Linked DNA regions of Oryctolagus cuniculus. The protein of the gene in region 1 purifies or fractionates together with the protein of each later gene. This does not show direct contact. Links are inferred from orthologs where the notes say so. Each region holds a gene or a part of one and is shown on either strand. Other genes may lie near its edges.

Evidence for each region.
Region 2: the proteins of DGCR8 (region 1) and SRPK2 purify together in Homo sapiens (affinity purification with mass spectrometry; 3 studies listed by BioGRID and IntAct, with this or other methods). This does not show direct contact. The link is inferred for Oryctolagus cuniculus from reciprocal best matches to the Homo sapiens genes DGCR8 and SRPK2.

What each region holds. Positions count from the first base shown.
Region 1 is NC_091452.1:27,771,691-27,775,495, forward strand, and holds part of DGCR8 (microprocessor complex subunit DGCR8), read left to right. Parts: intron 1-3,137; coding exon 3,138-3,238; intron 3,239-3,410; coding exon 3,411-3,517; intron 3,518-3,805.
Region 2 is NC_091434.1:139,311,396-139,315,200, reverse strand, and holds part of SRPK2 (SRSF protein kinase 2), read right to left. Parts: intron 2,967-3,805; coding exon 2,941-2,966; intron 1,795-2,940; coding exon 1,548-1,794; intron 997-1,547; coding exon 514-996; intron 1-513. UniProt on the Homo sapiens protein: Serine/arginine-rich protein-specific kinase which specifically phosphorylates its substrates at serine residues located in regions rich in arginine/serine dipeptides, known as RS domains and is involved in the phosphorylation of SR splicing factors and the regulation of splicing.

The DNA.
Region 1 (3,805 bases):
GCAGGTGGAAGGTCCCACTTGCAGCAGGTGTAGTCTTCGTTCCCTGGAGGGGCTGAGCAGAGGAGGTTGGCTTTATAGACAGGAAGCACAGTAGACGGGCCATCCCACAGTTGCCGTCCCTGGGAGGAGGGCACGGCGACAGAGCAGCGGGACAGTGACTGGTTCACGGCAGGTCACGCCCCGCTGCCCCGGCCCTGTGTGGCAGTTTGGGCTGTTACTCTGCTGATTGCTCTGCGGGTCACGCAAACAGCTTAGTTTCAGCTTAGTGGCTTGGAGCTTTGAGCATCAGTGACTCCATCTTGGTTTTTAGCCAGGGCTGTTGGGCCTTAAGGCAGGAACTTAGTCCAAAACTGTAGCCTGCTGGAATAGTGTCCTCTCCAGGAAGAGGTGCGTTCCAACCTGATTTCGAGTGAGCCGCCTGGGGGGTGACTGCTGCGGCTGCCTCACTGCCTGAGTGAGTGGGTCAGGTTCTCCTGGGGAGCGGGGGCGCTTTCCCGGAGTGGCTCTGGAAGGAAGCGGAAGAAGGAAGCTCCCCTGGCGAGGAGGCGTGTGGGAGGGCTCCGCGCAGCTGCTGCAGGCCTGGGAATCCAGCTCTGCCACCGAGGGCGTGTGCTGGTTCACCTGCCGCCTCCTCCTGGGGGAAGGCCCTCTCGGCAGCCCCCAGTTAAGATGCCTGCGGCTGGCGGGGCCCAGCTTCCTGCCTCTGCCAGGAAGGTCCCACGACCCCTCTGGGTTTGTTAGTTGCTGGAGAAACTCAGAGGATTCAGGAGAACATTTTAGTTGTGATAGCTGTTTATTGTACAGCACACACGTGAGCAGATGACACTTAGGAGTTCCGGAAGGATCCTGCACGTAGGAGCCTCTGTCCCCGCGGAGCCGGGAGCGCCTGCGTCGTGGCGCGCGGCTGTGCTCTGCAGCGAGGAGGAGGGGCTGAGCACCCTCACCCTCTGCTGGGACCTGTCCTGAGCCGCCTCGGTGGCATAAGCTCAGGGGTGGGGAGGCGCCGAGTAAACAGGAAGCCCTCCAGGTTTTCAGACGCTGTGGGTGTTGGAGTCGAAGACCAGATAGACTTCACCTTGGGTAAGGCTCCCCGCTACCATCCGAGATATGCTTGAGGAGTTTCTACCTCCTTTTGAACAATTTCTTTATAGGCAAAAAAGAGACAGATCTCCTATCTGGTTCACTCCCCAAGTGCTTGCAGCGTCTGGGGCTGGCCAACGTCAAAGGCAGGAGCTCAGCTCCATCTGGGTCTCCACGGTGGGGGCAGAGGTGCCAGCCCCGAGCCAGCACCTGCTGTGTCCCAGGGTGCGCGTGAGCAGGAGGCTGGAGCTGGAAGTCGGGCTGGGACACGCCCCAGGCCGTCCAGCATGTGCTGGGGTGTCCCTGTCCCAAGCAGCGTCCTTGTTTTGTTTTGTTAAGATTGATGATTTGAAAGGTAGAGCTAGAGAGGGAGTGACATAGATCTTTCCATCTGTTGCTTCACTCCCCAAACGGCGGCAGCATTGACTGGGGCTGGTCCAGGCCGGAGCCAGGAGCTGAATCCGGTTTCCGCCTGCTTGTTCACTGCTAGCCTTGTGGAGGTGCCGTTGCGCGTCTGCAGCAGCCTCGTGTCTTCCCTTTGCTAGACTCCTTTATGCCTCCGTCACTTCCCTGTGGATTTCTTGGGTTTCCTAGGTCCGATCTGTCCCTTGTGAACGCTCCTTTTCCAATCTGGGCGCCCCGGCCCCCGTGTCTTCGCCCACGGTAGCGTGGTGAGAGCGGAGCCGCCTCTGTCCTCTGTCTCTGCGAGGGCAGCGTCCAGGCTTGTCTCCTGCAGCTGCCCTTCAGCAGGCTGAGAAGGCTCCTCTGTCCTGTGTGCTGAGCGTCGACAAAGGCCGTGCATCTTGTCATGTGCCCTTCTGTTTTTGCCACGCACCCTTTCTATGTCTGTTGATCTTTTTTTTTTTTTTTTTTTTTTGTTTAGCCTTTTTTAAATACAAAAGTTCAGTGAGTTGAGTCTGTGTTTTCAGTCCGTTCCGGGGCTGACCCCAGCTGGGCAGTGGGCGTGCCTCGGGCTGTGTAATGGTGCCAGTCTGCTCCTGCGTGTGTGTAGGGTCCACTCCTGAGCTCCTGGGCATCTGCCCCGAGTGCCAGGCCGTCGTGGGATGAGCTGGCAGCTGTCCCTACTTGGCTGGGATTTGGAAGGAGTCTGTACAGAGTCCTGTCTTCCCTTACCTAAGTGTTTGGTGGTCAGATCCAAAAAAGCCCTCTGAGCCCCGGGGTTCTCACCTACGGATCTCACTTGTTGGGTAGATTGCGGTAGTCTGTGCTTTCCAAGGCAGGGGTCCCCGGGACCTGCATTGTTGGGTCTACATGCGTCGGGTGGTCCGTGACATCCTCTGGGCACCCATCACCTGGGCTCGTCGCCTGCTGTCTGCAGCAGTGGTGACCTGTTCGGAGGTGACTTGTCCCCTCTCTATGCGCTGTCCTGGCAGGCGGCCCCTGAGCAGACACCTGCAGAACAGGGCGGGGCCAGCTCTGTGATGGCTGTGAGCTTGGCGTGCACCCCTCTGGCTGGGCGGCCACTCTGGTGTCTGGAGCTTGCTTGTCAGCTGGGAAAAGCGACCCTCTGCCCAGTCCCGGGCCACCTTGTGCTGGGCCCCATCACGTTCCCAGAAGGGCCTGTCACAGTGCAGCCGTGGGTGCCTGGGAAATATAGTCAGCCTGATGGCGTCCCTGTGACGGGAGGGGAGAGGAGCCCAGTGAAGGTTGGAGTGGAGCTGCCACGAGCCGGGGGATGTGTGCCCAGGCTGCTGCCGGCATCCGGGGGAGCGCAGTGAGGCCCTTGCTCTCCAGCCGGCTCCCTTGGGCGTGCTCGTGCCGGAGCTGCAGGGCCACAGCTGTGATTTGTCTTGGAGACGCTGGCCAGGCCAGACCGCCCGTTGCTGTCTGGGCCGGCGTCTCCGTGGGGCCTCTGGCCTCGGAGAGCTGGACTTTGCAAGGTGCCCGACTTCCCTCGCCTGTGATTTCCAGAAGGCTCCTCCCTCAAGCCTCGGCCTCTGGTTGTCCCTCTGTCAGAATGAGGAGGCGGGGTCCCAGCGAAAGTGTCCGGGGGCGGCGGCCGGGCCGGGACTCACAGCATCCGTTTGGTGTTGCAGTACTTTAACCACATCAGTATCGAGGACTCGCGGGTCTACGAGCTGACCAGCAAGGCTGGGCTGTTGTCTCCGTATCAGATCCTCCACGAGTGCCTTAAAAGGTAGGGCAGGAGCTCCCGGCTCTTCCTCCTGGGCGGAGCCCGTGGAATTGCGTGGGGAGGATGGAGGCGCCCCCGCCCGCCGCGAAGCAGGTGGGGAGCGTCCCCGAGCAGCCCTCCCAGGAGTCCCGTTCTCTGCTCGCCGCTCCATGCCACCTTGTCTTGGCTCTCGTAGAAACCATGGAATGGGGGACACATCCATCAAGTTCGAGGTGGTTCCTGGGAAAAACCAGAAGAGCGAATACGTCATGGCGTGCGGCAAGCACACAGTGCGCGGGTGGTGTAAGGACCCCGCTCCCGCTCCCCGCGCGGGCTCCCTGGCTCTGCCCCGCCACTGCCCTGGCCCTCTCCCCAGCTGTAGCAGTGTGGCGCCTACGCCTGTGCGGCCTGTGCCCTGTGGCAGGAGGGGAGGCCAGTCTCCCAGCACTGCAGGCAGGGGTTCTGCACCACGCCTGCCCCTCACCTGCCCTCCACAATTTGGTCTCTGGGCTCCTGTGTCTGAAACTTACCTTTGTTGGATACCCGTACGGCCCAGAGCAGTTTTGTGCCAGTGAGAAGGCCCTGGGAAAC
Region 2 (3,805 bases), on another chromosome or scaffold:
AACCTGTCATCACATTTAAATCCATGCCACTTTCTCTAAAATTATTATCCCAGGCACTCATCAAGAGCAGGGTCCTATAATCAGGAACAACTATCAGAATAAATTATGACATTTCTTTCTCAATATAGCTATAGAGGAGGCACACTTTTAAAAACAGAAATAAAAGAAAAACGAAAAATAACAATACCAGACCAAAGACGTCACAAATTATAAGCAAAACAACATACTGCAGAAACCCACTAAGTTCTAGGAAATGTGTGATGTCACTGACTAAACATAGAAGGATGAGAAAAACCCAGAAAGGAGATTTCATTTGCTGAGACCAAGAGAAAGCCTAGCGGCACAAAATTTATTTTTAATCCATGTTGCTCCCAAGTATACAAGCAGGGCCACGGGAACGGCGAGCGCACACATCCATGGCTTCACCGCCTCCAGCCAGCTCCATGCACAGGATCTGTCAAAGGCACGACCCTAGGGCCACCACAGACACAGCTGATGGGAAGGGACACTTACTTTTTGGCAAATCCCCAGTACTAGAGGCTGAAACGGTCCTGCTTCTGTCATGGGATGGACTGCTTTCCTCTTGCTCGGTCAGTGGTGATCCCTCGGACAGCACAGAGCCGCAGGCCACAGGTTCTAAGGACCCCGAGAAGAGAGAAGTAGAAAACTCGGGAAACTGTGACTCGGGAATTTTATGTCGTCCATTTGGCAATTCACCATTGAACTGTTCGTAGGAGCTGCTATACGTGTAATCACTTTCTGCATTTGGCTCATCAGGGTTATACTCCTCAGGATTTGGGCAGTCATCTTCATCATCCTCTTCTTCCTCCAGCTGCTGTTCCAGTGAGAAGGGGCCATTCTCTATATGGCCATTGGTTTTTGGGGATTCTATCCAGGTGGGATCTAGGTTCGCAAGTTCCTGTTCAACATCATCTTCATCTTTCTCAATGTTTTCTTTCTCGGCATCTTCTTTCTCGTCTTGGTCCTCGGCGTCACCTTAAAAAGTGGATGGGTTAGAAATTAGCACCCTCTCCCTCTGTGACATGGGTGCTTACCTCCCCTTCCACAAGACTGAACCTGGCCGTGCTTCATTTATGTATCACAGAGTGAATGCCTCTTGACCCTTGGGGTAAAACCTTTAGGTTTCCTAAATCTTAATTTTTGTTTACTCACTAATTGGCCTATTCTCAGGATAAGTTAGCTTTTAGGGAAAATCTTCATTAAAAAATGTTGTACTTCAATTTCTACCTTCTCTGCAGCCTTCAGAAAGGGTTTTTGTGGTGCCCAACAATTAGCCAAAGGTTACTTACAAACCAAAGGAAGGACTGTCACTAGTAAGACAGACTCTGTGCTTCTCAGACATTTTCTGTACTTTAAACCCTATGTTGAGAAGTTACCGTATTCCTGGCCCATATTTTGCAAGTGAGGGCCCGGCCTATCTCTGATACTGCCAATACGGAGGTGCAGGGAACGGTCTCACTATCTGAAGAGGCAGTGTGAAGTAGGTGCAGGCCCCCAGCACCGAGCAGCCCCCAGGCCCCACTGACCGCTGTCCTTTGCGGTCTCCTCCTCGGCGGTCTCCTCCAGCCCTGCCGCTTTTAGTTTCCCTTCTGGGCGGTATTCACCATCTTGCTCGTTGGACGGTACAGCTGAGGTGATGTTTTCTTCTATTATTTTCCTTTCAGCTTCACGCTCCAGTTCTTCTATCTCCTGCAGGCGTTTTTCCAATAATTCTGCCTGCCTCTTCTGCTTCTTTTTCAGCTTTTTCTTTTTGTTTTTAGATATTTTTCCTATCTACAATGTTAAGAAAACACCACAGGTCAGTTTCCATCTTTTTCAAGTACCACCCAATAGTACAAGTGCTGGCAGCATAGCAGATGCCAGCAAACTGCTTTTCTGTGTCCTACCCACTGACAGGCACAAGCTCAGACATAAGTCCACCTTGCGGTTGGGGTTGTGGTAAAAAAAGAACTCAGTGCAGGCAGAAACCACATGTGGGGTCTACCATCAGGCCCTGCTCTAGAAGGTGAGAGTTCAAACCCAAAAGACTGCACCACTTAACTCTGAAAGAACTGAAAATCCTGCAACACTCTTGGCTTTGAACAAGAAGCTCCTCTTGCAAGTTTTATTTGCTGCTGCCTGTGTACAAAGTAACACCATCTCATCTTACTGCCACAAATAAACAAAAACAAAACAAAACACCTGCCAAAAGAGGTGTATGTCACTGTTGGTCAAAAATATTCTTGGGTGTCTGGCTCTCACATTCTCAGTGTTATCAACAGCCAAGACAGGACGAATTCAAAGAAATGAGCATACAAAGTGCACTGCGGGAATACCACGGCCATGGCCATGTGACTTGCAAGCACTGGCAGTGACAGTCTGGAGTCTTCCACAGAACCAGCAATCTCAAGCTGCTCTAGAATTAAGGGAACGCGTTGGGCTCCTCACAGATGAGGAAGCCCAATTACCACAGCCTCCCACCCCCACAACTTGAACTGAACTCCCACCTCAAAGTGAGGGCTGATGTACTGGATATAGTGTTTTGATAGAGCCACAAAATAGGTAACACTCTCATAATTAATAACTGGCTAGAAAACAAACTGGAACAAGAACTTCAGAACTTGTTCTGAACAAGAACTTCAGCAGTAACGTGGAAGCCAACCAGAAATAATGTAAATGACCTGGAAACAATCACACTTCAAACCTCACATTTCACCAGATGTGGCCAACGGCACTCCAGAAAGGAATAAGGAAGGTAGGCCTTTAATTACTGCAGCCCTGAAGAAAGCATTTCATCTTAACCCAACAGCAACTCACACAGCATTCATAAACATGTCTACTCTTCAGTATGTATCAGAACATCTGTCATACTTTGGGAAACGCTATAGTAAGCAGTCCCTGATGACAAAATGAACACAGATGTATTTGTTAAGTACTTACAGGTTTTTGCTGTGGAGCCGTACTCACTAAAACAAAATAAAATAAAATAGATGTTTAGAAGAAAATAAATACATATCTTTACATAGGTAATTCAAATTGCAAAATAAAATAATTACTATCTCTTAAAGGCTATCTAACTTCAAAAATTGTTCAAATTCAGAGCTTCTTAATTATAGGGATTCAAAAAGTTTAGGCATCTGAAATAACTCTGAAATAACTGGCTTTTTTTTTTTTTTTTTTTTTTTTTTGACAGGCAGTTATACAGTGAGAGAGAGAGAGACAGACAGAAAGGTCTTCGTTCTGTTGGTTCACCCCCCAAATGGCTGCTACGGCCGGCACACCGCACCGATGTGAAGCCAGGAGCCAGGTCTCCCATGTGGGTGCAGGGCTCAAACACTTGGGCCATCCTCCACTGCCTTCCTAGGCCACAGCAGAGAGCTGGACTGGAAGAGGAGCAACTGGGACAAAATCCAGAGTCCCAACCGGGGCTAGAACCAGGGGTGCCAGCGCCGCAGGTGGAGGATTAGCCTAGTGAGCTGCGGCGCCGGCCAATAACTGGCTCTTAAAAGGCACAGCAATACCATTGATCCTGAACCATTTCTCTTATCTATATAAAACTGTAAAAACAATCAACCCTAAAACACAAAAAGGTGACTTAAGAAAATGGAGAAGAGTTCACAAAGAGCACATTGTCACTGAACCAAATTTGTTTGCAATCTATTTGTAAGCTTTCCACAAATGAATTAAATAAACACTGCCACAAGTATGTAGCATTCTGGAAATCCCATGATTAGATTCCTCCCAATGTCAAGAGCCTGACAGGTTGGTTGCATATTCTAAACCACATCCTAATCAGTAGGAAATG